2 linked regions of the Canis lupus familiaris genome follow. The protein of the gene in region 1 interacts with the protein of each later gene in a biochemical or structural test. Links are inferred from orthologs where the notes say so. Each region holds a gene or a part of one and is shown in the gene's direction. Other genes may lie near its edges. The genes, in order: FKBP4 and GLMN.

The links.
Region 2: the proteins of FKBP4 (region 1) and GLMN form a complex in vitro, tested with the Homo sapiens proteins (2 studies listed by BioGRID). The link is inferred for Canis lupus familiaris from reciprocal best matches to the Homo sapiens genes FKBP4 and GLMN.

The regions. Positions count from the first base shown.
Region 1 is NC_049248.1:4,079,375-4,095,428, forward strand, and holds FKBP4 (peptidyl-prolyl cis-trans isomerase FKBP4), read left to right. Parts: upstream 1-5,480; 5' UTR 5,481-5,526; coding exon 5,527-5,631; intron 5,632-5,975; exon of another isoform or gene 5,976-6,101; intron 6,102-7,855; coding exon 7,856-8,000; intron 8,001-8,683; coding exon 8,684-8,826; intron 8,827-9,640; coding exon 9,641-9,761; intron 9,762-10,025; coding exon 10,026-10,182; intron 10,183-10,836; coding exon 10,837-10,927; intron 10,928-11,024; coding exon 11,025-11,108; intron 11,109-11,341; coding exon 11,342-11,527; intron 11,528-12,041; coding exon 12,042-12,281; intron 12,282-13,590; coding exon 13,591-13,698; 3' UTR 13,699-14,390; downstream 14,391-16,054. UniProt on the Homo sapiens protein: Immunophilin protein with PPIase and co-chaperone activities. Component of steroid receptors heterocomplexes through interaction with heat-shock protein 90 (HSP90).
Region 2 is NC_049227.1:57,136,592-57,152,940, forward strand, and holds part of GLMN (glomulin), read left to right. Parts: intron 1-3,255; coding exon of another isoform or gene 3,256-3,301; intron 3,302-3,967; coding exon of another isoform or gene 3,968-4,040; exon of another isoform or gene 4,041-4,205; intron 4,206-4,498; exon of another isoform or gene 4,499-4,637; intron 4,638-5,039; 5' UTR 5,040-5,066; coding exon 5,067-5,105; intron 5,106-5,526; coding exon 5,527-5,652; intron 5,653-10,562; coding exon 10,563-10,679; intron 10,680-12,012; coding exon 12,013-12,121; intron 12,122-13,193; coding exon 13,194-13,440; intron 13,441-14,910; coding exon 14,911-15,013; intron 15,014-16,349. Other genes in the region: putative RNA polymerase II subunit B1 CTD phosphatase RPAP2, read right to left, coding at 3,256-3,301, 3,968-4,040.

The DNA.
Region 1 (16,054 bases):
ATAGTCAGACTCATTAAGGAGCAAAAAGTACAAATATAATTTAACATTCAGGAGAGAAGCACTCTCCTGGAAATGATAGAGCAAACCCTTGTCTGGGCCAGCGGCTCTGAATCAGAGGACAAAAGACAGGATCTTCCAGGGCTTTTATTCCATATTCCAGTAATCAGCAGGCTGAAAAAATTAAACGTGGCACAGAAAGTGATTACCACTTACCATGTGCCATGCACTGCTTTAAGTACTTCACACATAATAATTCATTTAATTATCAAAGAAGGGACGCCTGGCTGGCTCAGCGGTTAAGTGTCTGCCTTTGGCTTAGGGCGTGATCCTGGAGTCCTGGGATCGAGTCCTGCAGCGGGCTCCCTGCATGGAGCCTACTTCTCCCTCTGCCTATGTCTCTGCCTCTCTGTGTCTCTCTCATGCATAAATAAATAAATAAATCTTTTTTTAAAAATCCTCAAAGAAAACCCCTATGGGGTAGGTACTATCATGACTCCCATTTTATAGCTCAGGAAAACTTGCCCAAGGACCCACAATGTGTTCAATGACGAAACAGATTGGAGCCCAAGCCAGACCTCAAGAGCTTAACCTTTACATTCTGCAGATCTCTCTTATTTGCAAACCTCACCCAAGGGTCTACTATTTTTCAAGTGTATGAAAATGGACTGGTTGCATCTGGGTGGCCCAGCTGATTAAGTGTCTGACTCTTGATCTCAGCTCAGGTCTTTTTTTTTTTTTTTTTTTTAATTTATTTTTTATTGGTGTTCAATTTACTAACATACAGAATAACCCCCAGTGCCCGTCTCAGCTCAGGTCTTAATCTCAGGATTGTGAGTTCAAGCCCTGTGTTGGGCTCTACACTAGGCATTGAACCCTACTTAGAATAATAATAATAATAATAACCAATAATCACTAAAATAAGTAAGTAAATAAATGTATTTTTCATGAACTATTGAGTGTCTGTTTTGGCCGATAGTATGGTTTGCATTTTCTCAATCAAAAGACACAAAAAGTAGCAAGAAGTTATGTAAGTGTCCTTAATATTTTTGGTATTACTTTCCTAAAAACTCCAGTTAGCTATCATATTAGTGTTTTATTAGTTTCAAGTGCACAATATAATGATTCAACAATTCTATATGTTACTCAGTGCTCATCATAAGCGTACTCTTTTTTTTTTTTTAAAGATTTATTTAATTTATTTATTTATGATAGTCACACACACAGAGAGAGAGAGAGAGAGGCAGAGACATATGCAGAGGGAGAAGCAGGCCCCATGCACCAGGAGCCCGACGTGGGATTTGATCCCGGGTCTCCAGGATCGCGCCCTGGGCCAAAGGCAGGCACTAAACCGCTGTGCCACGCAGGGATCCCCTCATAAGCGTACTCTTAATCCCCTCTACCTAGTTCACCTATCTTCCACCCATCCCCGCCTCTAGTAACTATCAATTTGTTCTCTAGAGTTAAGTCTCTTTGTTTTGTTTCTGAAATTCTACATATGAGTGAAATCATATGGTATTTGTCTTTCTCTGACTGACTTATCTCACTTAGCATTACACTCTCTAGATCCATCCATGTTGTTAAAAATGACAAGATTTCATTTTGTTATGGCTGAGTAACATTCCATTGTATGAATATACCACATCTTGGGGCACCTGAGTGGCTCAGTGATTAAGCATCTGCCTTTGGCTCAGAGCATGATCCCAGAGTCCTGGGATCGAGTCCCACATCAGGCTCCCTGCAGGGAGGCTGCTTCTCTATGTCTCTGCCTCTTTCTCTGTGTCTCTCATGAATAAATAAATAAAATCTTTAAAAAAAAAGAATATACCACATCTTTATCCATTCATCTATCAGTGGACACTCAGGTACTTCCATAACTTGACCTGAAAATAATGCTGCAATAAACATAGGGGTGCATCTATCCTTTCAAATTAGTGTTTTCGTATTCTTTGGGTACATACCTAGTAGGGTTTTCTATTACCTTTTTTTTTTTTTAGATTTTTATTTATTTACTTATTCATGACAGACACACAGAGAGACAGAGACAGACAGCGGGAGAAGCGGGCTCCCCACAGGAAGCCCAATGAGGGACTTGATCCCCAGACCTGGGATCATCCCCTGAGCTGAAGGTAGATGCTCAATCACTGAGCCACCAAAGTGTCTCATCTGTAAAATTTTTAAAAAGATTTTATTCATTTATCTGACAGAGCGCACAAGCAGGGGGAACGGCAATCAGAGGGAAGGGGAGAAGCAGACTCCTCGCTGAGCAGGAAGCCTGATGTGGGGGTCCATCCCAGGACCCTGGGATCATGACCTGAGGCGAAGGCAATTTGCTTAACCGACTGAGCCATCCAGACACCCCTGATTTTTTGACACACATCATATTGGCAATGTTCTAATCCTTAGGCTAGGTGGTATATTCCCAAGGTTCATCATGTTCGTATGGGACATACTATGTGTATGCGTACGTTACAAACACCTACATACTCATCTCACATACTTTTGAATGATACAGATACATATTTTTTTTTTAACGTTTAAGAGCACTGGCAGTGTAAGAAGGTGAAAATAGCAACTATAAAGACAACGGGGACAACAACAACAACAAAAAAAAGACAACGGGGTCTTCATGTCTGAAGGATGCACCTAGCATTAGAGAGGTGAACTAGATGAGCACAGGAAGGCCGATTTTGGCAATAACAAAGCTTCTGACCACAGCTTGAGTCATCTCCAGAATAAGGTGGATGATTTAAAAAAAAAAAAAAAAAAAGTATGTTCTCTTCTTCTAGCAGAAAGGGAAAATTTTGGAAGGATTTTGAATGAGTGAATAATACCAGTGCAAATAATTACATTGTTAAACACCTTTAATGGGAATACTGATTTCAATGAGCTGGAAATGGGAAAAGTCAGGGGAGGGAAAGAACAAAATATCTGCATACTTTCTACATTGAGTATATGTAAGTTTTGCAATCAGAAGAATATAAAGAAACAGGAAAAAAATCTAGGAACCGTAAGGTTCTGGTCTGGGAATTCAGGAACCCAATGCCTACTGCCCCCTCCTCTCTCCCTTCCACCTCCCAGCCCCTCCTTACTCATCCACTGAACAGAGTCAGAACTTTCTCACTGGAAACCTTTCCCTCCTATCCTTCCCCTTTCCCTTCCACCCTATCATTCCCCTCTCTAATAGACCACTCTTCCCCTATCTCTGCCATTACACTTATCACATTAGAGTAATGACCATTCTGTAAACCACCCACTCAAAGGTGGGCACTGTGCTGGATACTTGCCGCATGTTCCCTCTTTCCTAACTGTTATAACTCCTCTCACTGACAAATGTTACCATCCCCAGAACCTGCCTCAGATCAAAATAGTACATGGGTGACCCAACTCTCAGTGGCAGGTGCATCTTCAGCACTATGTGTTAACAGAAACTAAAAGATATAGACTTATGCTATTTGCTGTGAGTAATAAAAAAGATGTAGAAAAGCAGTCCTCTAAAGGTGAACTTTCCTTTTTCATCCCAACTCATTCCTCCAGATAATACCCAGTGGTCTTAGCATCGAAAGAAACTAGCACAGGGGCACCTGGGTGGTTCAGTTGGTTAAATGTCTGGCTCTTGGGTTTTGGCTCAGGTGATGATCTCCAGGTGAGGTTGAGCCCAGGAATGGGGCCCGGAGTCCACTTGAGATTCTCTCCCGTTCTAAAAAAAAAAAAAAAAAAATCAGTAAATAAAATCAAAACCAAAAAAAGAAAAGAAAAAGAAAGAAAAGAAACTACCACACGTTGGTGTAGCCAAGTGCATAAACCAACACCAAGATAACTGCCAAACCAGCCAGCTAGCACCTTACCCACCACCCTTGTCTCCTGGAGTTTTGGAGAACTTTCAGTGTTACTTCCTACTCTACTGAGGGACGCATAGAAAATAAATAGATTTATCCCCCCATAAATCTAATGGGTATCCCCAATCATCTAATGAGACACTTCTTAGTTGTGGCTCAAGTCATCTGCTATAAATTGCTGGAGGAAATGGTTTTATTTCTTCTGCATTCCCTTCCCGTCAGACTCCATCAGACAGGGCTATAACGAATGATCCAATTACCTTATGGAGCTGCAATTTCATCCATAATAGGGTAAATTATGTACCTAAGCGCGACAGTTTGCATACAACAGCACAGTGCCAGGCATATAGTGAGGGCTCCAAAAAAAGATTATTATTGGAATACAAACTTATGCAGCCAAAAACTATTTGACTCCACTCACCAGGCACTATGTTAAACTGGGGCTAAGTGCTGAGCAAAATCGACACTCTCTAGATGATTCTTTTTTGTCAAAGGCAAAATCTATCTATTCAGGTAGCTAGGGGCTGCAGAGCTCTGACTTGCCGCACAGCTGCTCTGCACTCACAGGCAGTCGGTAGATACTCGAAAACCAAGTATCAGGCAGAAAATTTTCATTGCCGTGGGTCTTTGGTAAAAAGGAGTGACTGTTTTCGTGACTTGAAACAATTTCCATTTTTAAATATTAATCTAAAGGGTCCTCCTATCATAGCTGGGGAAGGTCCCTTTAATATGCGTCCCATTTAGAGTCCTTAGCTCAGCGGGTCATTTCTTGCAAATCCTGCTCCGACCATTTTAAGCTAAAGGCGGCACGTGTTCCCGGGTCTGGGGAATTCAGGGGTGTTCTCCCAGATTCCGAGCACTGGGGTCGCCGAGCCCCCTTCCCTTCTCTCCCCCCAGCCCTCTAAGCGTCTGTACGCTGAGTGCAGAGATGCGAGGCCGCGCCGCGTGCGCCCGCCGCCGGCTTATAAAAATGCGCGTCTCGTGTGCGGGGAGATCACGTCCGGCTGCGCGGGTCGGGGCACAGCACGCCGCAGGCTGCAACGACGGGGCGGATCTGGGGCGGACCTGGGGCGGACCTGGGGCGGCGGGCACCCTCGGCCTGGGGCTGGTGCAGGGGATCGAGAAGGATCTGGAAGAATCTGGTTAGACCGGGAAACGGGCGGGGGAGGGCCAGGGAAGGGCGCTCGGGTGGGGGTGGGGTGCGGGTGAGCGGGGGAAGCCCCCGCAGTCCGAGGGCCCCAGCGTGGGGAGAGGGAGGCCAGGCGGCCGCAGGGAGGAAAGAACCGGGGGAAAGGGGAAAAAAAAAAAAAAAAAAAAAAAACCCACCCGAAGCCCAAGCCGCGCACATTCACACAGGCACCCCGAGCAGCAGGGCCCGAACTGGCTCGGCGGCCGCCGTCTCCAGAAAGTTCTCCGCCCCCGCCCCCTCCGCCCCTCGCTCCCGCCCCTGCGCCTCCCAGCCCCTCCCTCCGCGGCGGGTGGCACCAATCGCTCCCCGCGGCCGCTCATTACCCACCGACTCCCGCTCCCGCGCCGAACCCGCCGCGGGCCGCGAGCGCGCCGGAGCCAGCGGTGTTGGAGCCCGAGGCCGGTGCGCAGCCGGGCGGCCGCCGCCAGCGCCCTCCCGCCCGCCTCCCCCAGCAGACGGCCCGGCTCCCGGCTCCCGGCGTAAACGGCGCACCGAGCGGCGATGACCGCCGAGGAGATGAAGGCGGCCGAGAGCGGGGCGCAGTCGGCGCCGCTTCCCCTCGAGGGGGTGGATGTCAGCCCCAAGCAGGACGAAGGCGTGCTGAAGGTACGCGGCGGCGGCGCGGGCGGCCGGCCTCCCGCCGAGCCGGGGACCCCCGGGCGCCCCTGCAGCGTCCGCGCGCGCCGTGAGCCGGGCGTGCGCCCGCGGCCCCGTGCATCGCCCTCCCGGCCCGGGCTGCGTTGTCGGGCGGCGGGGTGCGCGGGGGCCTCGGCCGTTCCGCGGCGTCCGGGCCCGACCGCAGCGCCAACTCCGGCGTGCGCGGTGCAGCGCGGAGGGAGGGGCGGGGCCGCCGGTGGCACGCGAGGTGCCGCCAGGGGGCCCGGGCCGGCCCCGACGCCGCCCGCCGCCCCCCGCACCCGGCCCCGGCCCCGCCGCCCCGCCGCCCCGCCGCCAGCTGCAGCCGGGAAGCCCCTGGACGCGTCCGCGGGCGCTGCTGCGAGATCTCGGCTGCCTCGGGCAGTTAAACATGAGCTCGGACCCGGAGCGGCCACCGGACTGATTCTCCTGGCCCAGAGGTTCTGCTGCGACCTGGCCCGGCCCGGGGCCTGGCGCCAGCAGAGCCGGTGGCGCCCTCCGTCCCCCCGGCGGCCCCCTTCCCAGAGGCTGGGACCCAGCGAGGTCACCGGCCCAGCCATGCTGGCCCCCTCCCCCCGCCCCCGCCCCGGGAGGGCCAGCGAGCGGCATGCCGGGACCTGTAGTTCCCCTCCCCCTCGTGAGCCGGGGCCGGGCTGCGGGCCGGGAGGAGGTGCTCTGCTGGGAGCCGCGGAGCCGCGGAGGGAGGGGGCCGGGCCTCGGGGGGCAGGGCATCTTGACCTGGGTCAGGGCGACTTGATGGTGCTTCAGAGCAGGTTCTGTGCAGTACAGGATGGCGAAATCCCAGGCTGGATTTCATGCCTCCTCCTCATGCAGTGTTTCTTTTCATCCTGGCTTCCCACTGCTTAGTTGCGTGAGAGAGAGCGAGAGAGACCTGGGCAAAGCTGGAGACCTCAGGGAACCCATAAACTGGTCCAGAAACGGTCCTGGTTTTGCCCAGATCTCGGAATCTTAAGCTGTTCTCCCAGTGAGCATGTGGCTTTCTCTTCTCTCTCCAGCGTCCTGATGGTTTCTACAAGTTTATTATTCCCAGAAGGGTCCTTTGCCCTTTTCTCTTCCACTCCCTCCCTTTTGTACTCTTCAAGGCTTCTGCCCATTCTGTTATGCAGGCTTTCCCTTAATAGGTAACCACATACGTTCCAGGTGATCCATGGAGTCTCCTTGTCCCCTTATATAAATGCTAAAGAAGAGCAGCAAATCTTCCTGAGAAAGGCTCTAGTTCTCAAAACACTTCACTTGCTTCCCAATCAAGTGAATGCTCCTGTCCTGAGTCTCAGTGCCCCTGTGCCCATCGGTGACCTGGTATTTTCACAGCCTCTTTTGGACTTCTGCGATCCTGTCCATTATTCTATTTCTGTCCACAAACCAGACCCTGATATGATGACCACCAGCATTTAGGAAGAATGAGGAAACCTAGCATAAATGGTTCTCTCTTTTCTACTGATAATAATTTTCAGCTTTTTACCAGTTTAATTCTCCAATCCTGATAGGGACTATTATCACCAGTCTACAAATAAAGTCTAGAAAGCTTGACTTATACAAGATCATAGAGCAAAAACTTGAACTCCGGGTTTCTGTTTTGAGTTTTCTTCTCTCTCTCTTTTTTTTTTTTTTTTTTTACAGATTTTGTTTGTTCATGAAAAATAGAGAGGTGGCAGAGACATAGGCAGAGGGAGAAACAGGCTCCCTGCAGGGAGCTTGATTCTGGACTTGATCCTGGGATCCTAGGATCATGACCTGAGCCTAAGGCAGATGCTCAACCACTGAGCCGCCCAGGCATCCCTGTCTTGAGGTTTTTGGTTTTCTTTTCTAAAAAAAAATTTTTTTTTTAAAAAAATTCATTCATGAGAGACACACAAGAGAGGGGCAGAGACACAGGCAGAGGGAGAAGCAGGCTCCATGCAGGGAGCCTGACGTGGCAGTTGATCCCGGGACTCCAGGATCCCAAGTCCTATTGCACCTCAAGAAAGATGGAGGCAGGGTGTCAGCTGGCTTCTAGCCAGACTTAATGTCACAATCACGGGAGGTTTAGTCCTTTTGCTTACAGTGTGACAGAAGGGTCCCTCTATGTTTGCATCAGAGTCTGTGTGGGCAGTTTAAGTGCCTCATTCAGCCCCCATGCCCCGGGAAAGCCAGCAAGCTTTCCCAGTACTCACCTTCTCTGCCTTCCTCCCAGGTCATCAAGCGAGAGGGCACAGGCACGGAGATGCCCATGATTGGGGACCGAGTCTTTGTCCACTACACTGGCTGGCTGTTAGATGGCACCAAGTTTGACTCCAGTCTGGACCGCAAGGACAAATTCTCCTTTGACCTGGGCAAAGGTAGGCACGGTTAGTGGGTTGGGAGCATCAGCTCTGCGGAGGGTGTAAGCTTTCACAAGCAGAAACCATACTTTCAGAAGCGTAAGGAGGAATGGTTTGTTCAGTCCATGAATTTTTCTCGTTAAACTCGTTTTTTCTTCTCCTCTGCTGGAACCGTGTTGATCTCTCTCTCTCACTCTCTATCTCTCTCTCACCTTCCCTAATCACCTTTGGACGCCTCAGTTCCTCTTCAGGGGTAGATTCCCTGGTTTCTTTCTTTTTTTTTTTTTTTTTTAAATTTTTATTTATTTATGATAGTCACAGAGAGAGAGAGAGAGAGAGAGGCAGAGACATAGGCAGAGGGAGAAGCAGGCTCCATGCACCGGGAGCCCGACGTGGGATTCGATCCCGGGTCTCCAGGATCGCGCCCTGGGCCAAAGGCAGGCGCTAAACCACTGCGCCACCCAGGGATCCCGATTCCCTGGTTTCTTAAACAACTTTGTTCCAGACTTGAGTAATATCTTAAAAGAGATCTGGGGCCTGACAGTGCTTATTGCAACCAGGTTTTCTACCTCCCTGGTCTCGTTTTTAAAGAGTGTGTAGCTTCCATGTGGGCATAGTGTCCTAAAGGTCTCTGGAGCTACTGTCTGAGCCCAGGGTCAGCTCCCTGCCAAGGAGGACCTGTTTGCTTTCTGTGCCTACAGGGGAGGTCATTAAGGCTTGGGACATTGCTGTAGGAACCATGAAGGTGGGAGAAGTGTGCCACATCACCTGCAAACCAGAATATGCCTACGGTTCGGCAGGCAGCCCTCCAAAAATCCCCCCCAATGCCACGCTTGTGTTTGAGGTGAGTGTCCAGGCACAGAGAGCAAGGCAGAGAGCCAGCCTTCTCTCAGCCCAGGGCCTGGCTGCCTTCCAGGGCTTCCTGCCGCTTGGAGACAATGTAGCCAAGGCTAAGGGCCTGGCCTTAGGGGAGGAAGAGCCCTGGAGAGGGCAGCTGGCTCTGCTGTGCACATAGCCTGCTGTTGCCAGAGCACAGCCACTAATGGAGATTTCGGGGGGAAAGAGGTGGCCACAAATTCGTCCTCAGACTTGAAGTAGGGTAAGGGTTGTGAGGCATGTTTTATTTCTGGAACAATGCCCAGAGAGGTTAGAATTCCACTGAAAGGGCTCTGGGGGTTAGAATCTATATAGTGATAGATGGCAGTATAGAACATCAGTGCTTTACAGATCAAAGGAGGGGAGAGATCTCCCCGTGGGCCACGGCGATGAGAGCCTTCCCTGAGACGGGGGACTTCACACCATTCAGTCTGACAATGGCTGAGCCCTCATTAGTGGATGCTTGGAGAATGTTCGGGAGACTTGCTGAAAGATGTTCGGTCATTTCCACTGCCTACCAGCTTGGCTTTCTCAGTGGGCTGGAACATGTCCTCCCTATGTGGAGCTGAGGTCAACCAGATCTGCTTGACCGGCCCACCTCTACCAAAGTTGAGACCAGAACTTAGCAGAAGGGCCGCTTTGTCCACTCTCGGTTTGCTGCCCTTGTGGTCGGGCCTGGTCTGGCAGTTACCAGGGACTCTTCTGGAGAGAGAAAAACTGCAGCTCACCGCTGATGAGTTAGTGCTGAAAGGAGTTGTGTCGCCTTCCGTCTCATCCCACAGGTGGAGTTGTTCGAGTTCAGGGGAGAGGACCTGACAGAAGAAGAAGATGGCGGGATCATCCGGAGAATACGGACTCGGGGCGAAGGCTATGCCAGGCCCAACGAGGGTGCTATCGTGGATGGTGAGATAGCAGTCTGGGGTTTCGGTTCAGATTCTGGTACTTAGGGCTTGGGGCTCTGGGCAAGTCCCTTCCTTTTCTGATCCTAGTATCTCATCTGAGAAACGAGGGATTAGATCATATCTTCTCAACGTCCCTCCAGCTCAGAACATGACAAGGGCACCTTGGGGGCAGGAAGTGAGGAGGTCACGGAGGGAGGCTGGTGGCATCCTTCCTCAGTCTCTTGCCTGCTCACATCCCTGGCACATTGCCTCTTCTCCCTGCCAGTTACACTGGAAGGGTACTACAAGGACCAGATGTTTGACCAGCGGGAGCTCCACTTTGAGGTTGGCGAGGGAGAGAGCCTGGACCTGCCTTGTGGGCTGGAGAAAGCCATTCAGCGCATGGAAAAAGGAGAACATTCCATTGTGTACCTCAAGCCCAGGTGAGGAGTGGGCACTTAGTAGAGCAGGTGCGTGATCCAAGGTCAGGATTGTACATGTCCACAGTGAGTTGTGTAACCAGCCCCTTGTAGCTCTTCCTCTGTGTGTGTTCACTACCCCCACAGCCTCACTAGAGGTCCCTGTGACTCTTGGCACAGCAAATGTGATTCCCTTCGTATTTAGGAGCATGCTCATAATTGTCTACATTTGAATCAAAACCTAATCTTTTCAGTCATGGCTCCTCTACATTGCCTCCTCTACCAACACAAAATCTTTGTCTCCTGTTAAGCAATACTCCATCATTAATGATGCTTATTGAAAAACACCTATTATGTGCCAGGAGCAGTACTGAAGATTCCTGGATATTTAGAGAGATTAGCCCTGCCTTCTAGTGATTCATTCAGTGAGATTTAGTAATTAGTAAGTTAGTGACTATTCCACCGTTAGTATGAGTTAGAATGATATGGGAGATGCTATGAGACCAGCTAATTGTGTGAAGAGGTCAGGGAAGATTCTGCCAAACAGGAAACATTTGAACCAAGTCTCAAGGGACGGGGAGGTGCTTCGCAGGAAACAGACAGGAAGCCTTTTCAGCTGGGAGCAGGTTGAGTGTGGCTGCAGTGACCTTTCTCTCCCCCCTGCCCCCCGCCCCCCAGCTATGCTTTTGGCAGTGTTGGGAAGGACAAGTTCCAGATCCCACCAAATGCTGAGCTGAAATACGAAATACACCTCAAGAGCTTTGAGAAGGTGAGTTTGCTCAGGGTCTTGTCTGTCTAGGAGTTGGGTCCCGGGACATGGCTTTGGGGTAGTTGACGACTCTGTGTCTCCCTTGGGGGTACGGCAGGCCAAGGAGTCTTGGGAGATGAACTCAGAGGAGAAGTTGGAACAGAGCACCATAGTGAAAGAGCGAGGCACCGTGTACTTCAAGGTGAGCCAGCGTCTGGGGCCCTGAGGACGCTCCCCGGGAGGGCTCTTCTGGGCCTAGCCTTCCCCAATGACTAGAAAACTCATTTTCTGCCAGGGAGAGGACTGGGCACACCTACAGTCGGCACCTAGTATATCTGAGCTAGCTGGTCTGGCAGGGGAAGGGGGAGGCAGGACTCCCTGGTCCCCTTATCTGCAGAGTGTCTTCCTGGTGCCTGAGCCCCCCTCCCTTTCTAGGAAGGCAAGTACAAGCAAGCTTTACTACAGTACAAGAAGATCATATCCTGGCTGGAATATGAGTCAAGTTTCTCTAATGAGGACGCACAGAAGGCACAGGCCCTCCGGCTGGCCTCCCACCTCAACCTGGCCATGTGTCATCTGAAACTGCAGGCCTTCTCAGCTGCCGTTGAGAGCTGTAACAAGGTGAGGCCCATGGAAAGGCATGGGCGCAGCATTCACGGGCTTGGTTGCGTGAGCTGCCAGCTGGTCTGAAACTTGGCCTCAGGACTGGGGCAGGAGTTAGGGTAGCAGGTGGACCAGTGGGAGCCCTGAGATGAAAGGCCCCGGGGCAAGGGCTTCGAGAAGCAAGCCCCTTGGCTTTAGTGCTCTGGAGTCAGAGGAGGGGAAAGACTGCTACGGCGTTTCCTTTGCCCTAGTCCCTAGCCCGTGCCTCTTTAGTAGTTGCTTTATTCTCGAGAGAATGGAAGTGTTGGCATGGTCTTTCATCGAAAGCCCTGTTTTCTCTCTGCGTCATGGACTAACTGGGGTTCTTTCCTAGACCTCGGTCTTTTCCCTTTAATGCCTGAAGACTACCCCTCCCCCCTTCCTGAGGTGGAGCTAGCAGGTTGTGTTCTACTGAGGGCTCCTCTGAAACCCAGTCCGGCCAGACAGGCCAAGGGGCTGAGGTCTTGCTCTTGCTTCCTCTCCGTGTCCTTAGGCCCTAGAACTGGACAGCAACAACGAGAAGGGCCTCTTCCGCCGTGGAGAGGCCCACCTGGCGGTGAATGACTTTGACTTGGCACGGGCTGACTTCCAGAAGGTCCTGCAGCTCTACCCCAGCAACAAAGCTGCCAAGGCCCAGCTGGCTGTGTGCCAGCAGCGGATCCGCAAGCAGCTTGCGAGGGAGAAGAAGCTATATGCCAACATGTTTGAGAGGCTGGCTGAGGAGGAGAGCAAGGTAAGGTTTGGGACAGGGAATGGGTGGGAGAGACAGAAGAAAAGCCCTGCCCCAGCCCTGGGCCTGCCCCAGCCACTGCGGCTCCTGGCCTGTGGTCATGTGTGCCACTCCTGGAAACCAGACATTGCCCTTGTCCTAGAGCAAGAACATGAACACTCCTCAGCAAGACCCCTGTTGGAGGGCCACCGTGCCTCTGTGATCAGGGCTGAAAACCACCCCCCCAGGCCTCAGCTTGGGAGCGATTGCCCTCTGTGTGCTTCCCAACCTCCATTCTTTTTGCCTTTTTAAAACTTAGGTTTAAAAGCCTATGTTGAAACAGGTAATAGAGTTTTACATAGTTATATTTAAACCACATGAAAGAACGTGAAGTCTCCTACCACTGAGGAGCAACTGGGTAAGACCAATGTTTAGAGGACTGCAGTATGTTATCTGGAAATAATTTACTGGAATTCCAGTAAATTATCTGACAAGTAGACCAGTTACATTTTCTTCCTTTTCCCTAATAAAAGGCAACACGTTCTACCGGTTTTGTACATTATGCTTTGTTCATATCCTGTCTACAGGATTATATCAGCATAAACTGTCTTCACATTCTTCACTGAGCCTATGGTGTTCCCTCATAGGCATACAGCCTACTGTTTTTTCCAGTCCCTGTTAACCTTCCAGTGTTCCAAACCAGTACTGGTGAATAGAAGAATAATGCAACCTGTATAGTGATTTGCAGTTTTCTAATAGCGTGCTAGAAAAGTGAACGGAAACAGGAGAGATTAATTTTAATACTTAGTTGACTCAAGGTATAAATACTGTAACATATTATTTTTTTTAATCACATTTATTTTTCAGACTCGAGTCAGGCTCCAGAAATCCATGGTATTATTTTGCACTTAAAAGATATCAGTTTGGACTAGCGGTAGAGTGATCAGGAGCCCCGTGTGGGAGTCATTACCATTTTGGACAAGTACAGTTTTACGTAGTATTGCACCAAGTGATCTTGAAAATGTATACTTCTGTGTATCTTAGGACCTACCTAGAGAGGGAGTTTGTTGTGTCAGTGTAATTCTGTTAGAAACTAGTGTGTATCTTTTTTTTAACTTGAGAGGCAAAGAGGATAGGAGTCTGTGGTACAGACCTGACACGGTGTCAGTGTGGCAGGTCACTATTGCTAGTCACTGCCATCAGCTCAGTGCAGGCAAGTGGAGCAGGGACATGGAGCACAAGTCCCCTTTCTCATCTGAGGCCTGGGCCCGATGAGAACTGGAACTCATCCCCCTACTCTTCTCCATTCCCCTACTTTCCTCCTTTCTCCCAGGCCAAGGCAGCAGTAGCTGCGGGAAACCATCATGCTGACACAGAGATGAAGGATGAGCAGAAGAATGATGTGGCAGGGAGCCAACCTCAGGTGGAGACGGAAGCATAGCCTCTGCCGAGCCCTATTCCTGCGGCTGCCTGCCTCCCCTGCTCCCTCCCCTCCTCCACCCTGTTAGTTTTGTAAAAACTGAAGAATTTTGAGTGAATTAGACCTTTATTTTTCTATCTGGTTAGATGGTGGCTTTGGGGGAAAGGGGAAAGGAGTAGGCTGGGGGATCATTTCAGGTGGTGTCACCCCCTCTTCCCTTCCCTCTCCCCCCATTACATGTGAATGAATGTCCATCCACACGCACACTCATCAGAATGTTAATTTATTTTGCTTCTTTTGTTTGCTATGTCCATTTTCCAAATGGTAGAAGGGAGTGAGTGGTAGGGATGCTACTCGAGGTCTGATGGGAAACCAGGGTGGAGAGGGAGCCTCCAGCCATTTTCGTCCTTTCCTCCTCCTGGTCCATTCCTAAACATGTGGCCTCCATGTGGGTGCTAGGGGCATGGGAAGAACCACTGCTGTGCCCGTAAACTGTTCTCTGCTGCCATCCTCCCCTCAGATGGTATGGCTAAGATGTCTTCTGGTGTCCCGACGACCACCTCCTGTCCCCCCACCAGTATTTCCCTTTGGATCAGTTTCTCTTCTCAGCCAGGTTGTGTCCCCAATCCCCTCAGCCTCTTCTCTGCACGTTGCTGAAGGTCTGGGCTTACCTCAAGTTCTGTGCTTGAGCAATAAAGTGGAAATAAAACCTGGGTGTCCAGCAACCCTTTCTGTTGGGGCTCAGAGGGTGGGCATGATGGCTACGCTTTGGGGACAAAACTGAGGGTTCACTATACAGGTTTCACCCCTAGTCGTGCTTCAGGTGTGGCCGATCAAGAAGCGTTGTGTGAGCATGGAGTGGTGCCAGCACCAGGGCCTCCCGGGTGCCATACAGACCACAGCTGGGCAATGCCTTCCACCTCCCATAGGCTCCCAACACCCCCACCCCACAGCGGGGTGAGTTCTCAGAGCTCTGCTCTTCTTTAACAGGAGGAAAGATACAATAAAGTACCGGCACCGCTTGTGTGGTTTCGGGTTAGATTTGTCTACTTCTGCCTTAAGTGATCTAGCAGAAAGCACAAGACTTTCTTGGTTTCTTTTCTTTTTTTTTTTTTTTACTTGGTTTCTTCTCAAGGTAGAAATATATTAGCAACCCTCCAGTAAGATACCTTTTACACAATTATGTATGGTAGGGAAGAACCGCACTCAAGCCAGGGAACTCTGGTACACACTCAGGTCTGCTTTCCAGCTTCTCTGTAGACCTTAATAGGAAAGAGCTTAGACTTTTTTCTGTGTTGATCTTTGCCTCCTATATCCACCCAGGGGCCCTGGGAGAAGCCAAGGGGCACAAGTCTTGTCTTCTCCCGATGGTTGTGGCAGCAGGCTAAAGCCTCTATCTGTGGCCTTCTTCCCTCCTGTAAGTTGTCCTTTCTATACGGTGGTAGAGGTAGTTTGCTTACTCACGTGCTTATACAGTTCCAGAAGCGATTTCTCTGTGCTTTTACTTTTTTTTTTTTCTCTGTGCTTTTACTGTGGAAGATTAATGTGTATGGAAATCTCCCCACATCCTACAGCATGGCTCTTTCCACGAGTCCAAACTAAAATTCAGTTTAGTCTCCCAGTGCCCACTTGTACTCTTGCGGAGTTTAACACAGTCCTGTGCACCTGGGTCTTTGGTATGCTAAGATCCATCTTGCCCCTGTAGCCAACGATAGCTGACCCTCATTATGCACCTAGGACAGAAGGCTAGGACTAAACCAGAGCCTTGTGTGAATTAACCTTAATCCTTGCAACCATCCTACAAAGGTGTTCCCCCATTTTACAGATGAAAACAAGGCTCAAGTTAAGTAGAAGGGTCTGCCTGGATTTTGAGCTCTCTGGAACAAATCCAAACTTGTTAGGAGGCTCCTGTGATCTTGGGCAAGGTGAACCTATTTCCTTAGCTCCAAAAACAGGGGCGTGGACAAGAATTAAAACTCTTTCCAGCTCTGAATGATTCCGTGGGATTCTAGGAATGTAAAACAAATGCATTTCTATAGAATCCTGGAGCTGGACAAGCCTTGGTCAATGTAATATTAAGACTACTGTGAAGATGTTTTACTTAAGTGACCAGAAGTTCTGGGTGGGTCCGTTAAGCGTTTGTGTGCAGCTCTGGCCATGATCCCAGGGTCTGGAACAGAGCCCTGCATTGGGTTCCCTGCCCAATGAGGAGTCTGCTTTTCCCTCTGTGCTCTCCTCCTTCCTCAAATATGTAAAATGTTAAAAAAAAAAAAAAAAAAAAAAAAGAAGAAGAAAAAAAGCCTTAAGGATTAAAAACAGGTGTGTCATGTACTTCCACTTTGCTTTGGACCATCAGCTTCACAGCCTCATCAATTGA
Region 2 (16,349 bases), on another chromosome or scaffold:
TCAAATGTATTTGGCTTTATGAAAAACATTATTTTATTTTTCTCATATTGCTGCCTACCAATAAAAGCTATGCCATGTACTACAATCAGTCTACAACCTCCACTAAGGAATTGTTGACTCAAGCAGTTAACTACCTCAACCTGCAGTAAGAGCCACACTACACTCACTCACATTTTTATTTTATTTTTTTATTTTTATTTTTTAAAAGATTTTATTTATTCATGACAGACACAGAGAGAGAGAGAAGCAGAGACACAGGCAGAGGGAGTAGCAGGCTGCATGCAGAGAGCCTGATGTGGGACTTGATCCCAGGACCCGATCCCAGGACCCCAGGATCACAACCTGAGCCAAAGGGAGAGGCTCAACCACTGAGCCACTCAGGCGCCCCACTACACTCACTCTTGACTGATGCCTAAGCTGCTTCCCATGAACAGCCCTTTGTCACTGTTGCCCTCTGGTCCTAAATGATGACAGACAGTATGGTGTATAGCAATGGTTCTCAAATTTTTCAGTCTCAGCATTGCCTTACACTCTAAAAATTAGAACTTCTGCTTATGTGGATTTTATGTATTGATATTCACCATATTTGGATTAAAAATGAGAAAAATGTAGAGCACTTATTAATTCATGTAACAAAAGTAGTAATGAACCTATTACGTATTTTGTGAAAAGAGAAGAACTATTTTACATTTTTGTAAAGCTCTTTAATTCCTGGCTTAATAGTATTTGATTGGATTGATGTTGAAGTATTTTTCAGTGGGCATAGATTTATAAAGGTTCATTCCCTTCAACAACTATTTGGTTAGTTACCCCATGGATTTTTTTTTTTTAATTTTTATTTATTTACTTATGATAGTCACAGAGAGAGAGAGAGAGGCACAGAGACACAGGCAGAGGGAGAAGCAGGCTCCATGCATCGGGAGCCTGATATGGGATTCGATCCCGGGTCTCCAGGATCGCGCCCTGGGCCAAAGGCAGGCGCCAAACCGCTGCGCCACCCAGGGATCCCACCCCATGGATTTTTAATTGCTTCATCATCCTGGGTAATTTGCCCCCAATACATTTCAGTGTATCTATACTTCTCACACTATGATGCTCACAATAAAATATAATCTTCTTGGGTTTGTGGTCAGATCACACTATTGAAGAAAGTTGCAAATTACCATCATTATCAGTATTAACTTTACTCTTGCAGTGTATCATAAAACCAAGTCATGCTACTCCACAGGGAAATATTCTCTAAAATAGATCGCAAGGGGCACTCAGGTTGCATAGTTGGTTAAGTGTCCAACTCTTGGTTTCCACTCAGGATCATGGTAGTGAGCCCCGTACTATGTTCCTTGCTCAGCAGAAAGCCCTCTTTCCCTCTCCCTCTGTACCTCCCACCCGTTAATTTTTTAAATTTCTTCTCGCATGCTCTCTCTCAAGTAAATAAATAAATCTTTAAAAAAATATTGATCTCAAATCCATCCAATTTCTCTATTCCCAGATGATCACCATCGCTAACATCTTAAAACTTTTATTTTTTTATTTTTAATTTTTTAAAGATTTTTATTCATGAGAGACACACAGAGAGAGGCAGAGACATAGAGGGAAAAGCAGGCTCCCTCATGGGAGCCCCATGCAGGACTCTCCCAGAACCTGGGGATCACGCCCCAAGCCAAAGGCGATGCTCAAGCACTGAGCCATCCAGGCACTCCTCTTAAAACTTTTTAAACTTAAATTTCATCACTCTATTACTTGATGTTTTCATATTTGCATTTAGAAAATCTAAATTTCTCACCACGGCCCACCAGATTCTTTAAGAATGGAATCCTAAGTTTTTCCTATGCTCCTTTCTTCCCTTGCTCAAAATGCCATACACTACCACGGTTATCTTTCCTTTCCTTGAACTGACCTTTTTCTTCTCAGGGCCTTCATATATACTGCCATCTCTGGCTGGACTCTCCTCAGGACTCTGGTTAATGCCTATTTAGCCTTCAGGGCTCCAAAGTCTTTCCCCGAGAATCCCCAGCTAATCTGAACACCTATTAGTTCCATCTGATAACTTCATAGTCTTTTCCTTTATAGCACTTATCACAATATATAATTATGTATTCAGTTGTGACAATTTAATCCGTATTTCTCCGTTCCAGTAGAAAAGAACTGTGTCTATTCTGCTCAAAACCATATCCTCAGGGCTTAACACAGGCCTGGCATATCTCCTATTTGGTAAATAATTTTTGAAAGAATGAGTAAATGACAGCCACTACCTGCCTGATATAAAAGGATAAATCACTGAAACCCCTAGGCGGCTCAGGTGGTTAAGCATCTGACTCTTGGTTTCAGCTTAGATCATGATCTCAGGATTGTGAGATCAAGCCCTGAGTCAGGCTCCACACTCAGTGGGGAGTCTGCTTTAGAGTCTCTCTTTTCCCTCTTCTTCTACTCCCTCTTCACCTGCATCCCACACATGTACTTGCTCACTCTCTAAAATGAATAAACATATTTTTAAGATTTTATTTTATTTATTCATGAGAGAGACATACATACACACACACACACACACACACACACACACACACACACACCCCGGGCGGTGGGGGGGGGGGGGGGCAGAGACACAGGCAGAGGGAGAAGCAGGCTCCATGCAGGGAGCCTGATATGGGACTTGATCCTGGATTCCAGGATCATGCCCTGAACCACAGGCAGATGCTCAACTGCTGAGCCACCCAGGTATCCCAATAAATCTTTTTTTTTTATTTTTAAGAATAAAATATTGACCTATGTATTTAAATCATTCTCATAAACTACTCCTATTCTAGAAACTTTGTGACAGGAGGTAAATCTAGTCTGTTTAGGAGATGCCAAGCAACAGAATAGGACTTTTTTTGCTGAAAATATGGACATAATGTAAACGAAGAACAGTAAAGGTTTCTTGGAGTCTCTGGTATATAAAGTAATAAAAGGCAAGTGTACCTGAAGAGGTGGAAAAGGAGTACCTGCTTAACTGAAGAATGTTTATTCCCTTAGACATCTTTCTACAGATACTCATACCTTCACCAGCAATCTAAAAGTGTCTTGATTTGGTTTTCTTAAAGCCTGGAGTAGAGAGATATAATGAGTCTATATATGAGAAATTATAGTGCTTTTCTGATCCTCTCTTTGTTTCGCATAATTTTTTTTTAAGTATCTCCCATTCTTGTTTATAAAAATGGTTAAATTAACATGAGATAAATAGATAAGCTAATGCAGTTGTCCAAGTAGTTCTCCTACCTTTTAGAAGCATCTTCTTGTTTTAAAGCATTCGTCTGTTTAGCACCTACAATAATAATAAAAATATTTTATATTTATAATAATAAAATTATTGTGGAGTTCAAGTCTTCGGAAACACACTAGTTTACAGGACAGATTCCTACTGAAACTGCAGACAACCTCTCTTCTTTCTTCCCCACACGTTACTTTCCAATCCCGTTTGCAAAACAAATGAAATGGGCAAGCGGAATTCAGTTTGCTAATTATTCCCGAATTCTTCTTGGTTAAAATGTATCTCCTCGGGGATTGAATTTTCTCATGTAAAACAGCTGCATGGTCACGGGGGCTCCTGCAAATCTGAGGTGTAGGCAACTCGAAATGTTCCCCCGAATGTTCGCTCACAGGGAAAGAGCAGGGGTGGGGTGACGCCTCAGAGGACCCGGAGCTAAAGCAGGAGTGCATGTCCAAGCTGGGCTGCCCCGGTCGCTTGCCCTTTCTGGCGAGCCAGCTCTAGACTCCAGCTCCTCTACTCCCTTTCCCTCAGAGACCGGTTCTGGGGCAAATCTTGGAACACCGGTGTGAAGAGGTGAGGGTGTGGAGGTCTTTCCCAGAAGACCCGAGGCCGGGGATGGGCCGCTCTGGGCCTTCTCTGCCCCGGAGCAGTCTTCCGGGTGTGTCCCGCGCGCCTCCGTGTGGAACACTCGAGGGGCTCGGTTCTCAGGGCCCTTCTTACCTGAGGCGTTTCGGGAAGCGCGGGGCGTCCGAGCCTTGAGGCCGGGCGAGCGCGGCCCGGCGGAGTCAGCCATGGGAAACGCGTCAGAAGGTCAGCCCGGGACCCGGCGTCTCCCCCCGAGGCTCCGCCCCCCGTCGCTAGCGCGGGGCGGGGCCGGCCGGGGAGGGGCGGGGCCCGGAGAGGCCTGCGCGGCCGGAGGAGGTGGGGGAAGCCGCCGAGAGCGGCGAGAGGCCCGGCGGTAAGTGGACGCGCCCGGGCGGCGGGGGTGGCCGGGGCTCGGGGCCAGCTGCGAGCCGCGGGGGAGCCGGCGCCGCGGCCCGCAAGGCCCCACGAGGTCGTGGGCCCGAACGCCTAGGCCCGCAGGAATCGGGAGAAATGGCTTCCTTTGGATGCAGTCCGCACGCGCGCTGGGCTTTTATCCGCTCTGGAGCGCGCGGCCGCGGGGACCCGGCTGACCCAGCTCCCGCTGCGGGCCTGGGGCAGGGTCTTGCCGCTGGGCCCACGGCGCCTGCGGGAGCCGAGCCGTGTTCCCCCGGGAGCTGCCGGTTGCGTCGCGTCCGTGCGGCCTGGCGGTTACACCAGCTGGGTGACTGGGGGACCGCATCGCTTACAGAAGAACGTCCGGGTCGCACTTGGGACTGTGGGCATCGGAACTTTCACCCGCTCTGGGGTGAGTTGTGTAGGCGCCAGTGTTTGTCAAGTGGGACATTGAAGCATTTTTTAAGATTCCCTAATGACTAGAACTGATTTCAGGAACACTTTTGGGAAATTTTTTCAGAAAAGAAATACTTAGCCTTTTTAAAGCCATTTACGTAGCCGATATTTGCGCTCCTGTTTGGGCGTACCCAGGAGGATTTTTTTTTTTTTTTTCAGGTAGATCTTTCAAAACTATTCTAGAAAACCTAAAAGATGCAACAGTTTTTTACTCCTTAGGCTAAAATACTTTTAAGTCAAAATATTTCAGCTTTAAAATGTCGTATTTTCCTTATTGTATTTACTGATAATTCATCAGAATGAAACATAACTCATTAATACTGTAATATCACTGATAGTTAACTGTTTTATATTTCAGCATAAAAACTAGGAAAAATAACGAGGAATGGCTGTGGAAGAACTTCAGTCCATAATAATGAGATGTGTAAGTAATTTTTCTTCTTGTAAAGTTAAATGCAAGATTATTTCTAGTTATACTTAGGGTCACTCAAATTGCTTATCTTCTCTAATCCTTGCTTTGTTTGACCGGTGAATAAATAGCAGGAGGGCCAGAAGGCAGATTGGATTATCTCTCCAAGTGACCTACTTGTCTAACCTTTAACATTTTTTTTTTTTAACCTTTAAAATTTTTAATATTGATCTTTATTGTAGAATTTTTTTTGGCAGTGTGGATTTCAAGATCATTAAACTACTTTTTCAGGCTTATCCTAATTTTCACACATATGCTAATGTGCAACTTACTCAGAATTCAAACACATTTCCTTTTTATTTCCAGAGAGAATAAATCAAGTAGTTATTGAATTTTTTATTCACCAAACGTTTTGTCTTCATTTTGTTTTTGTCAGCAAATCCTAGAAGAACAAGACTTCAAAGAAGAAGATTTTGGCCTATTTCAATTAGCAGGCCAAAGATGCATAGATGAAGGGCACATAGAGCAGCTACTAGAGATTATTCAAAATGAAAAGAATAAGGTAAGTGCAATCTTTATGAGTATTTTTTAGTCTTTACTAGGAAGATAATAGCCACATGATGCTATTGTTTATCCACTCATTCATCAAACATTTAAGAATCAAATTTCTACAGTAGGAACATGGAAAACAAAAAAGGGCTTAGGGCTATTCATACACTTGAAGGTGCTTATAGTCTGGTGGAAGAGATAATCATGTAAACAACTAGCAAGAGGGCAGAATAAGTGAAATAATAGATATAGTTTGAGTAAAGTGCTTTAAAAGAGCAAGGATTATTTCTGCTTTAGGGATCAAAAGTGGCATTTGGATTATTATTGATTTACATTTAGTACTGTAAGTATCAGGCAACCTAGATACTCATTTTTGGTAATCCGCACTTTCTCTTTCTTAAGCCAGATATATATGGAAAACCAGATATTAAGTAAGATAATATTTAGGAGGCTGGCTGAGTCAGTTAAGTGTATCTGGTATCAGTTAAGTTCCTCTGGTAGACAGGGAACATCTGCTTTCCACTCAGCTGATGATCCTGGGTTTTAGGATGGAGCACTGCTTTAGGCTCCCTGCTCAGCAGAGAGTCTGCTTCTCCCTCTGCCTCTCCCCTGCTCATTCTCGCTCTCTCAAATAAATAAATAAAATCTTAAAGAAGTAAAAAGATAATATTTGGGTGCATAAAATCAGAATAGGAGCAGACTTAGATGGCCTTACTGGCCAATATCATGCAGCTATAATCATCTGAAAAATCCTTTTCATCAATGGGAAAAGGATCTTTTGGGAATGAGAAACAAATGTTTCCGGGGACGCAGTGTTGGCAACACTGCCAAATTTTTTGTCTTTGTACTTGCCTTTTTTTTTTTTTAAGATTTTATTTTTTATTCATTCATTCATTCATTCATTCATTCATGAGAGACACAGAGAGAGAGAGACGAGGAGAGAGGCAGAGACACTGGCAGAGGGAGAAGCAAGCTCCATGCAGGGAGCCTGATGTGGGACTCAATCCTGGGACTCCAGGGTCATGCCCCAGGCCGAAGGCAGGCACTAAACCGCTGAGCCACCCAGGCTGCCCCATACTTGCCTTTTTATACAAGAAAAGATCATCTTTCCAGGAGCACACTCTTTCTTCATTTACAGTACTATTTATTTACATAGAAGTTTTCTTGGGCAGCCAGGTGGTTCAGTGGTTTAGTGCCGCCTTCGGCCCAGGGCCTGATCCTGGAGACCTGGGATCGAGTCCCATGTCAGGCTCCCTGCATGGAGCCTGCTTCTCCCTCTACCTGTCTCTGCCTTGCTTTCTCTCTCTCTGTGCCTCTCATGAATAAATAAATAAAAATCTTTAAAAAAATAATTAGGTTATTATGTTAACTAGAATTTAAAAACTTGAAACAAAAGAAGAAAATTGGGTGATAGTGATATTTTTTAACTTTTTGAGTTTTAACTTTAATAGGTTGAGAATCATCTTTGTAATGTGTGGTTTGCTAAATTCAAAGGTTCAGACATTGATAAGACCGTATTTTTTTTTTAAGATTTTATTTATTTATTCATAATAGAGAGAGAGAGGGAGGGGCAGAGACACAGGCAGAGGGAGAAGCAGGCTCCATGCCAGGAGCCCGACATGGGACTCGATCCCGGGACCTCAGAATTGCGCCCTGGGCCAAAGGCAGGTGCTAAACCACTAAGCCACCCAGGGATCCCCTATAAGACTGTATTTCAAACTGACTGCAGCTTAGCTTTCTTGCCAGGTGATGCAATCAGGCTTGATCGATTTACTATACTCTTTTTTTGTAAATTAAAAAAAAAAGGCCATATGAATAGTTTGTCCTATAGTATAGGGCCTCTCAACATTAGTACTCTAGATATTTTGTAGTAACCACCCCACACTCTGAAATGACAATCAAAAATGTTCTCAGATGTTGCCAAATGTCCTCTGGTAGACAGGGAACAAAATTGCCCCCATTGGATATCCATTGGTATAGTGGGAAACACATGGGCTTTGGAGCCAAACAGATTTATATGCAGTTCCTGGTTCTGCCACATTTTAGTTGATTTTTAGGCATGCCAGTAATCTCTAAACGTTGGCGTTCTCATGTGTCATTTGGGGATAATCTTACTTTGTAGGTAGTTAGTATTAAACTAAACAAGGTGTAGTTTATGGATAGTTAGTATTGATTCCTTTTCCTCATAATTATTCACTATTTACATAATGACTAGATACCTTGCAGCTGAGATGATGTTTGTAAAGTATTTTATCAAAATTATTTTTTTTCATTTCAGATATGCAAAATCTTATTTAAATCTAGAATTTCCCATATAGTTAATTCTCAGAGATCACTTATAGGGTAGAAATACACCAATGGAAAGGCAAAGAAGTGCTTATTTGGAAAAGTAGAGCCTAATAGGAGCTAGTTAAGTTTTATTTATTTTTATTTTTTTTAAAGATTTATTTATTTATTTATGATAGACAGAGAGAGAGAGACAGGCAGAGACACAGGAGGAAGGAGAAACAGGCTCCATGCCGGGAGCCCGATGCAGGACTCGATCCCGGGAATCCAGGATCGCACCCTGGGCCAAAGGCAGGCGCTAAACCGCTGAGCCACCCTGGGATCCCCTAGTTAAGTTTTAAAAAGCAAGAGTAGTCTTAATAGGTAATGGTGGAATAAATATTTAGTAATTTGGAAAAAATTAATAAAAACAACAGAATATCAAAGCTTTGGAGGGAATCTAATTTGTCACCCTGTTATCTTAAAGATAACAGACATCATTCAAAATGTATTTATGGAGCACCTATTTTTTAACAGGCCCTTGTCTAGATGCTAGGAATAGATACAGCAGTAAACAAAACTGCTCATATGGATCTTAAACTCTAATGAAGACAGGTATCTACTAATAAACTATATGGTATGTTAGAAAGTGATGAATACTATAGAAAAAAATAAAGCATAACTAGGGGATGAACCATGTTAGGTGAGACTGCAGAGATTTGAAAAGGAAGGAGAGGAGTAAACCATAGGGAGAAGAGCTATCTGAAAGAAGAGCATGCCAGGCAGAAGAAATAACTAGTATGGAATGATTTATGAATATGAAACGAAAATATTTAGAACAGCTGAGTTGTCTTTCCCATTAGCTAAAAAGAATGATTGTTTTTGTTGTTGTTGTTTTTATTTTATTTATTCATATGAGATACAGAAAGAGAGAGGCAGAGACATAGGCAGAGGGAGAAGCAGGCTCCATGCAGGGAGCCCGATGTGGGACTCAGTCCTGATCTCTGGGTTCACAACCTGAGCCAAAGGCAGACACTTAACAGCTGAGCCACCCAGGCATCCCAAGAATGATTGTTTTGCTATTTGTTTAAAAAAAAATAATCGATTCAAGCATTCATTTAAAAAAAAATTTTTTTTTAAAGATGTATTTATTTGAGAGTGCACGTGCATGCAAACATGAGTCAAGGAGAGGGGTAGAGGGGTAAGCAGACCCCCTGCTGAGCCCAGACACTGGCTTGATTTCCACCCTGAGATCATCACCTGACCCAAAATCCAGACCTGAAAGCCTAACCAACTGAGCTACCCAGGCGCCCTTTATTCCATGTTTCTAACATAAATCTTTTGAATAAAAAGAAAGGTGAAATGTATATATGTTGAAATATAAATGATTTGTTTATGAATCTCTAAAGGAGAGAAACCAATTTAGACTTAAAAGCTAATAGGAAAAGAATCAAAGAAAAGTAAGTGTATTTTGCTTATAAAAAAAATAAGGACAACCAAAAAAACCAAATAATTATCTGTTGTAAATACAAGAAGGGAGCTCATGCAGATTGATAAAGACAAATGCTAAAATGTCTAATTGATAAGTGAGCAAAAATATAAACAGCATTTCCTCTTTTGTGAGCTATATGTTCATATACGCTAACATATTCTGTTACTAGTTCTCTAGGACATGTTAAGTCTTACACCTTTACACATTGCTGTTTCAGAGCCTTAAATATATTTTCCACCTGACAGACTTCCCTAACAATTTTAGCTTAGCCACTGTCTCTTCAGAGAAGCCTTTCTTGCCTTTCCTAGATGGAAGGCAGTTCTCCTGCTATATCTCAATACTCTGGTTTGATTATAAGACTGGGGTCATGGAGAGAGTATGTGCTTAATTGTCTTCCGGAATAGATGTGTTTTTTTAATGAGTCAATCTAGAAGGTAAACTCTTATCAGGATAGAGATCTTACCTTACTTAATTTATAGCACCAGAATATTTTAGGGACTTGGCATATAATAGTGTATTCTTGATTAAATACTGATAAGTTGAAGTAGAAAGCAGCCCAGAGAAATGGAGTATATTATTGCTAGTTCTGGAAATAGAGGTTTTGATTATGAATGTGAATCACAAGAATATAAACTTTTACTTGTGTGGTAAACATTCTGAAATATCTTTGAAAATAGAAATAACTTGTATGTTGAAGAGAAAGTAACTGAAGTGGTATCCCCTTTTACATAAGTTATGTAATCATAATATATTTACAGATTTTCCAAGTTACTTTAAAAGGTTCATAAGTGTTGGGTGTAATTTTTTTTGGGGGGTTGGGTGCATTTCTTTATGAATCAGGAGAGCAAAATTCTCCGTGAAAATTAAGTATTTGCTCAAATTAATTCTCTTATTAGAAATAGAGAAACTAAAGTATAAAAAAGACCAACATACCTGGTTTAAAGTAAATGTCCATTCACCTTTCTTCAGTGAGAGTATTAAAAACTATTTTAAAATGTTGAGAGTTGTTAATAGCCAACCCTGAGAAGTCAGTGGTGAGATGCTGTAGGCTTCATTTGCCTCATAGCTATTTCAGAGGAAATATTAAGCTCCTTCAAGTTAAGAAAGCTTACTGTAAGAGCCCTATAGATGGCAGTATTTTCTTTACTCTAAAAATGTTTTTATAGGTCATCATTAAGAATATGGGCTGGAATCTTGTTGGTCCTGTTGTTCGATGTCTTTTGTGGAATAAGGAAGATGAGAAAAGAAAATATTATTTTCTGATGCTTGATTTATTGGTAAAGGTAAGTTAACAAAATTAGGTTCTCTTTGTCATGATAGCCAGCAGTATTTTGTTTTAATGCTTAATGCTCATTTTGGGTGATAAAGCTTTTAGCTCATGAAAATAGAGAAGAGAATTCTTTGGAGAAAAGGCCCAATATTATTGATTGGATGGGCAAGTCCACTTCAGTTTTTCCAAATTTCTGAATATAAGAAGTATCTAACCTCAACTCAGACCCACTGATTCAGAATCTCCAAGAAGATACCTAAAACGTTCTATTTTTAATAAGTAGCTTATCAGATAGATGTGGAATTCAGGGTTTAGAGAAGCAGTTAGTTCCAAGCCCATGCTGTTCTTTTAACAACATTGGAACTAGCAAATCTCAGTCCTCTTTTCTCTGTGGTACATTCTCTAAAAGATTATTAAAAATCAAGAATGCAAATGATCACAGGGGATATAGGAATAGGAAGGAGATTTGTTGTAACCAACAACCTTAGAGACTTGATAAAAAAGTTACTAGAGTTTTAAGTAAAAAATGGTAAAGGAGCATAAAATCTAAAGAAAAGGACATAAAAAAGAGCTACTTAGAGATCAGTACAAATAAGAATACATACTTGGAAAGTGGAAACCCCATCTAGATAGTAGTTATTAACTACTTTAAAAGGAAAACAAGGCAAGTGTGGTAATTCTGGGTAGTCAGAAGGCAGTGCAAAGTTATATCTGTTCAGAAAGGACAAAAGAGACTTACTCATTTAAATACCCTGACAGTGTGAGATAGAAAAGTCCCACCTGCTGAAGTCATGAGAAACTAAGGTAGCTTTCAGAGTAGACAGTCAAAGCTCAAAAGAAACCTCAGTTTTGGTAATCAAGTTCTTCTATTCTCCTATTTTTCTAACTTTTCCTAGGAATTTCAGTATCCAAATAGAGTTCTTTTTTTTTAAGATTTTATTCATTTATTTGAGAGAGAGAGAGAGAGAGAGAGAGAGAGAGAGAGAGAGAGAATCTGAAGTAGATTCCAAACTGAGCCCAGAGCCTGACAAAGGGCTTGATCCCAAGACCCTGAGATCATGACCTGAGCCAAAACCAAGAGTCAGACGCTTAATTGACTGTGCCACTCAGGCACCCCAAGTATAATTGTCCATTAAGACACTCATGACTTTTTGCTTTTAGTTTTAGTGATTTGACAGTCAGATTCTGACTGTTTTGTTGGTGTATCTTTTTAAACAATTATGTGAGGTGTTTTACTGTTAAAAATAATTCTATTTTCTCAATATATGCTGCCTTTTAAAAATAGTAATCATGTGGCTTTAAATACAACTTGTATTAAACAGGTTCAATTGTGAATATTTTTATAGTTATGTAATCCAAAGGAATTATTGTTGGGTTTGCTTGAACTGATTGAAGAGCCCTCTGGAAAACAGATATCCCAAATTATTCTTCTTTTACTTCAGCCATTACAAACAGGTAATGAGTATTTTGATATCTAAATGTTTCTTATTTTATCTGTGTTAAGTTCTTGTTATTAGTCCAAAATGTCAGCACTATACCAAAGTAAATTTATGACTAATTATTGAGTACTCTGCTTATACTAGCAATAGCAGTACCATTTTGAATCCTGCTACCTGTAGAAAGATGACAATACCTGGCACAGATGGGTACCCAGTATATATTTTGTTAAATGTCCTGCTGTTTTTCAGGTACTGTGTTGTAATCTATAGCTTTCTGCTTAACCTTCATATCTGCAACTTATATCTAAAACTTTCTCTGTAAACATATTTAAAGGATTGCCTCTGTGATGTCTGCTTTACTCTGTTAGCATTGTGGTGGGTCCTGTATCTTGGTTAAGAACAGTATTGTGCAAACATTGCTTATCCTTAGCATTGGGAAGTTGGGGCTGAGGATAGCAAAAGAACTACGAATGAAACAAGTGTGAAAGAAAAGTCTCCCATGGCTGAGTGCAGTAACATTACTGTTAAGCAATGGAGCTTGGCAACCAAAACAGACAGTATTTATCCATGGGAAGAGATTATGTTTTCATTTTATGACTTACATGTAACTCAGAGTACGATAAAAGGACTCGGAATCTAGAAGTTAAATTCATTTTAAATGAGAATGAAGCAGCTTTGAACCACTTGACATACTCAAAGTCTCCTAGAAAGGTAATTCTAGTAATACTACTTCTCATTTTTTCAATGTTTAATATTTTGCAAAGAGCCTTCTCTTATTTAATAGTTAATAACAACCAAAAATATGGAAGTGTTTTGTCTTAACTATGTAAACAGTTAGAAACAAACAAGATTTCGTGGCATCTGTTATAAGGTGCATGATTGATTTTAAGATGCTTAGGTATTTCATGCACCACTAAGAAGGAAAGATAAAAACACTATCAGTTAAGTTATGATCTATCATCCTGATTTCAAAGTCGTTACGATGTTTTTTTTAAACGTGTTATAATTCTACCTTTACTGGACTTACTGTCCCATGTATAGCATACTTGATGAAGTTAACTCAGGTCACAACTTGGTCTCTGTTTTAGTGATTCAGAAACTTCATAACAACAAGGCATATTCAGTGGGATTAGCATTGTCCACCCTTTGGAGTCAGCTATCTCTCCTTCCTGTTCCATACTCAGAGGAACAAATACAAACAGATGACTATGGCCTTTGTCAGTGTTGCAAGGCCTTAATAGAATTCACTAAGCCTTTTGTGGAAGAAGTCATTAATGACAAAGAAAACTCACTGGAAAATGAAAATGAAAAGTTAAAGGATGAATTACTGAAGTTGTAAGTATATTTTTGCTAATAGTTCACAATGGAGTTAAGTAGTCAGTTATTTTATGTTTCTTTGCTGTATTTGTTTGCCATGGATGTATAAATCTAGCTCAGGTTTTGAATTTTAGAAGATTATGGGATACAGTGGTCATTGCTTCATTAAATGCCATATTCTACATTTTTAAAAATTAAAAACCTAAATCCATTTGTTAAATTTGTATGCTTCTATGACTTGCTTTTATTCAGTAAGTGAATAAAGTAGGGGAAGTAGATAGGTGTAGCTCAAGGAATCTGGTCTTTTTGTAGGGGAATTGTGCTTTTACTCTTCTTATGAAAGCAACAGAAGTAGCACCAGAAAGTTGAACATCCAACTTTACAACAAAAACGGTAACAGAGTAGCCAAAAGCATATCATTCCAGGGGCACTATACACTAAACAAATACTGTATGTACACTGTGACTGTCACGCATTTGACATATGGCTAGCAAGATTAAGATGTACTCTTTTTTTTTTTTTTTTTTTTTTTTTTTTTAATTTTTATTTATTTATGATAGTCACAGAGAGAGAGAGAGAGAGGCAGAGACACAGGCAGAGGGAGAAGCAGGCTCCATGCATCGGGAGCCCGACATGGGATTCGATCCCGGGTCTCCAGGATCGTGCCCTGGGCCAAAGGCAGGCGCCAAACCGCTGCGCCACCCAGGGATCCCAAGATGTACTCTTAGTATAAAATGCTCCTTGGATTTTGAAGACTTGTATTTAAAAAATACTAAAATAAAATAAAAAAAATAAAATAAACTACCTCAATAATTTTTATACTAACATTGAGATAATCATATTTTAGATATATTAAGTTTATAAGTAGTTTCTCTTGTTTCTTTTTTAATGTGACTACTAAAAGATTTTAAAATCACATGCAGAGTTTGTATTATATTTGTATTGGACTAGATTACTGAATTACATGGATGAGTAATTTTATCTTCTAAAATTTGAAGACTAAAACTACAGTTAGCTTTCTGTTTTTTTAGGTTAGAACATTAAAATTTTTTTTGCCATTTATAAACCCATTATTTCATGAGCGTGAAAATATTTAAACTAAAGAAATTGGAAAGGCTTAATTACAGAATAGTTTGGTTTTCTAAGTAAAACAAATTGAGCTTATGAAAAAAATTACATTGTCGCGATTTTCCTTGAACTAATGAAAACTACATCATGAAATAGCACTGGTCCTCAAACCTTCAGTAACTATTGGTATAGTCCAGGCATGGAAGTAAATCTTACCACATGGAGTAAACAGCTCAAGGTGTGCTCATTCTCTCCCCAATCCCAGTAGGAAAAATTTTACATTAGCAGTTTTACATGCTGTTGAGTCATTGGTGCTTATGTTATTTTATCATGTAAAATTAACTTTGATAAGTTTATAGAGCTAGGTATTTTATACTTACAAAATACTGTATTCACAGTTACCCATTTCTTACACCTTAGTTGTTTCAAAAGCTTGAAATGCCCTTTGCTGACAGCACAATTCTTTGAGCAGTCTAAAGAAGCAGGAAATGATCCTTTAAGATGTTTTGCATCTGAAATAATAGTAAGTACAGCTAATTTAATCTTCCATAAAATCTGCTATAATTTAAAATGTACTGCTATATTCTCATGTACTGCACATGGGCATGCAAATTGATACATTATTAATATGTAGAACACAGATTAAAAAGGTGGAAAATAAATAGCAATATTATTTGGGTAATGAAATTAACACCTCCAGACTTTGCTTTTGCAGTCCTAAATGAATATATACGTGTATGTAATTTTTTTCAAAGATTCTGTCCCATTATACATACTCTTTTGTAACGTACTTTCTCTTAACATATTACGAATATTTTTCCATTGTCCTTCTGTTTTTATTTAACTAGGGCCATCTAGTTCTAGGTTTTCTTTTTTTTTTTAAGATTTTACTTATTTATTAATGAGAGACACACAGAAAGAGAGAGGCAGAGACACAGGCAGAGGGAGAAGCAGGCTCCATGCAGGAAGCCCAACGCAGGACTTGATCCTGGAACTCCAGGATCAGGCCCTGGGCCGAAGGCAGGCGCTAAACCACTGACCAACCCGGGGTGCCCTAGTAGGTTTTAGGTTTTCTCCAATTTTCTAGGTTTTCTCCAATTTTTCAATATTATAAAATAATTCCAGCTTTCTTCTTTTAACTGTTAAGTCTATGATAAGTACCCTTTTAACCAAATCTTTGCATATTTTAGTTGCTTTTTTAAAATAAATTCCTAGAAGTAGAATTTCTGTGCCAAAAGATATCCTCAGTTTTAAGGTTTATGATATTTTCAAAATAACTCCAGAAATAAGTAAATTTTATTTTAAAAGTAATTTGGTGTAATGCATCAAAGAGTACTAATAAGTGTGCTGGGATTCCGTATTAGGGAACTAATTTGAAATATGGAAAACTATGTACTTGAAATTAATAGTCATGAATTTCAGATTAGAGCAATCATTGTGATTGTGGATTTTCTTTAGCCATGTTCAGCTGTATGAGTGTAGGTACAACATAGGAAGAAAGTTGGATTTAATTAGGTCAGAGTTTTGAGAACTGTGAATTCTACAAAGCAAGAGAGGGAGAAAGGCATTGAGCTTGTATGCAAGGAAGTGACTGTGAGGAACAGTAGAATTTAAGCTGAATAAGGAGGGAAGATAGGACATACAAAATGTGAGAGACAGTGAAGAAGATGATGGAATCGTTGGATTGTAGTTCCTGGTGTGAATAACAAGTTGCTGGAGCCTAGGTTATTAAAAGGAGTGAGCTGAAAAGATTAGAGGTTAAAGAACAGGATGCTTGGGCAGCCTGGGTGGCTCAGCGGTTTAGCGCTGCCTTTGGCCCAGGACGTGATCCTGGAGTCCCCAGATTGAGTCCCACGTCA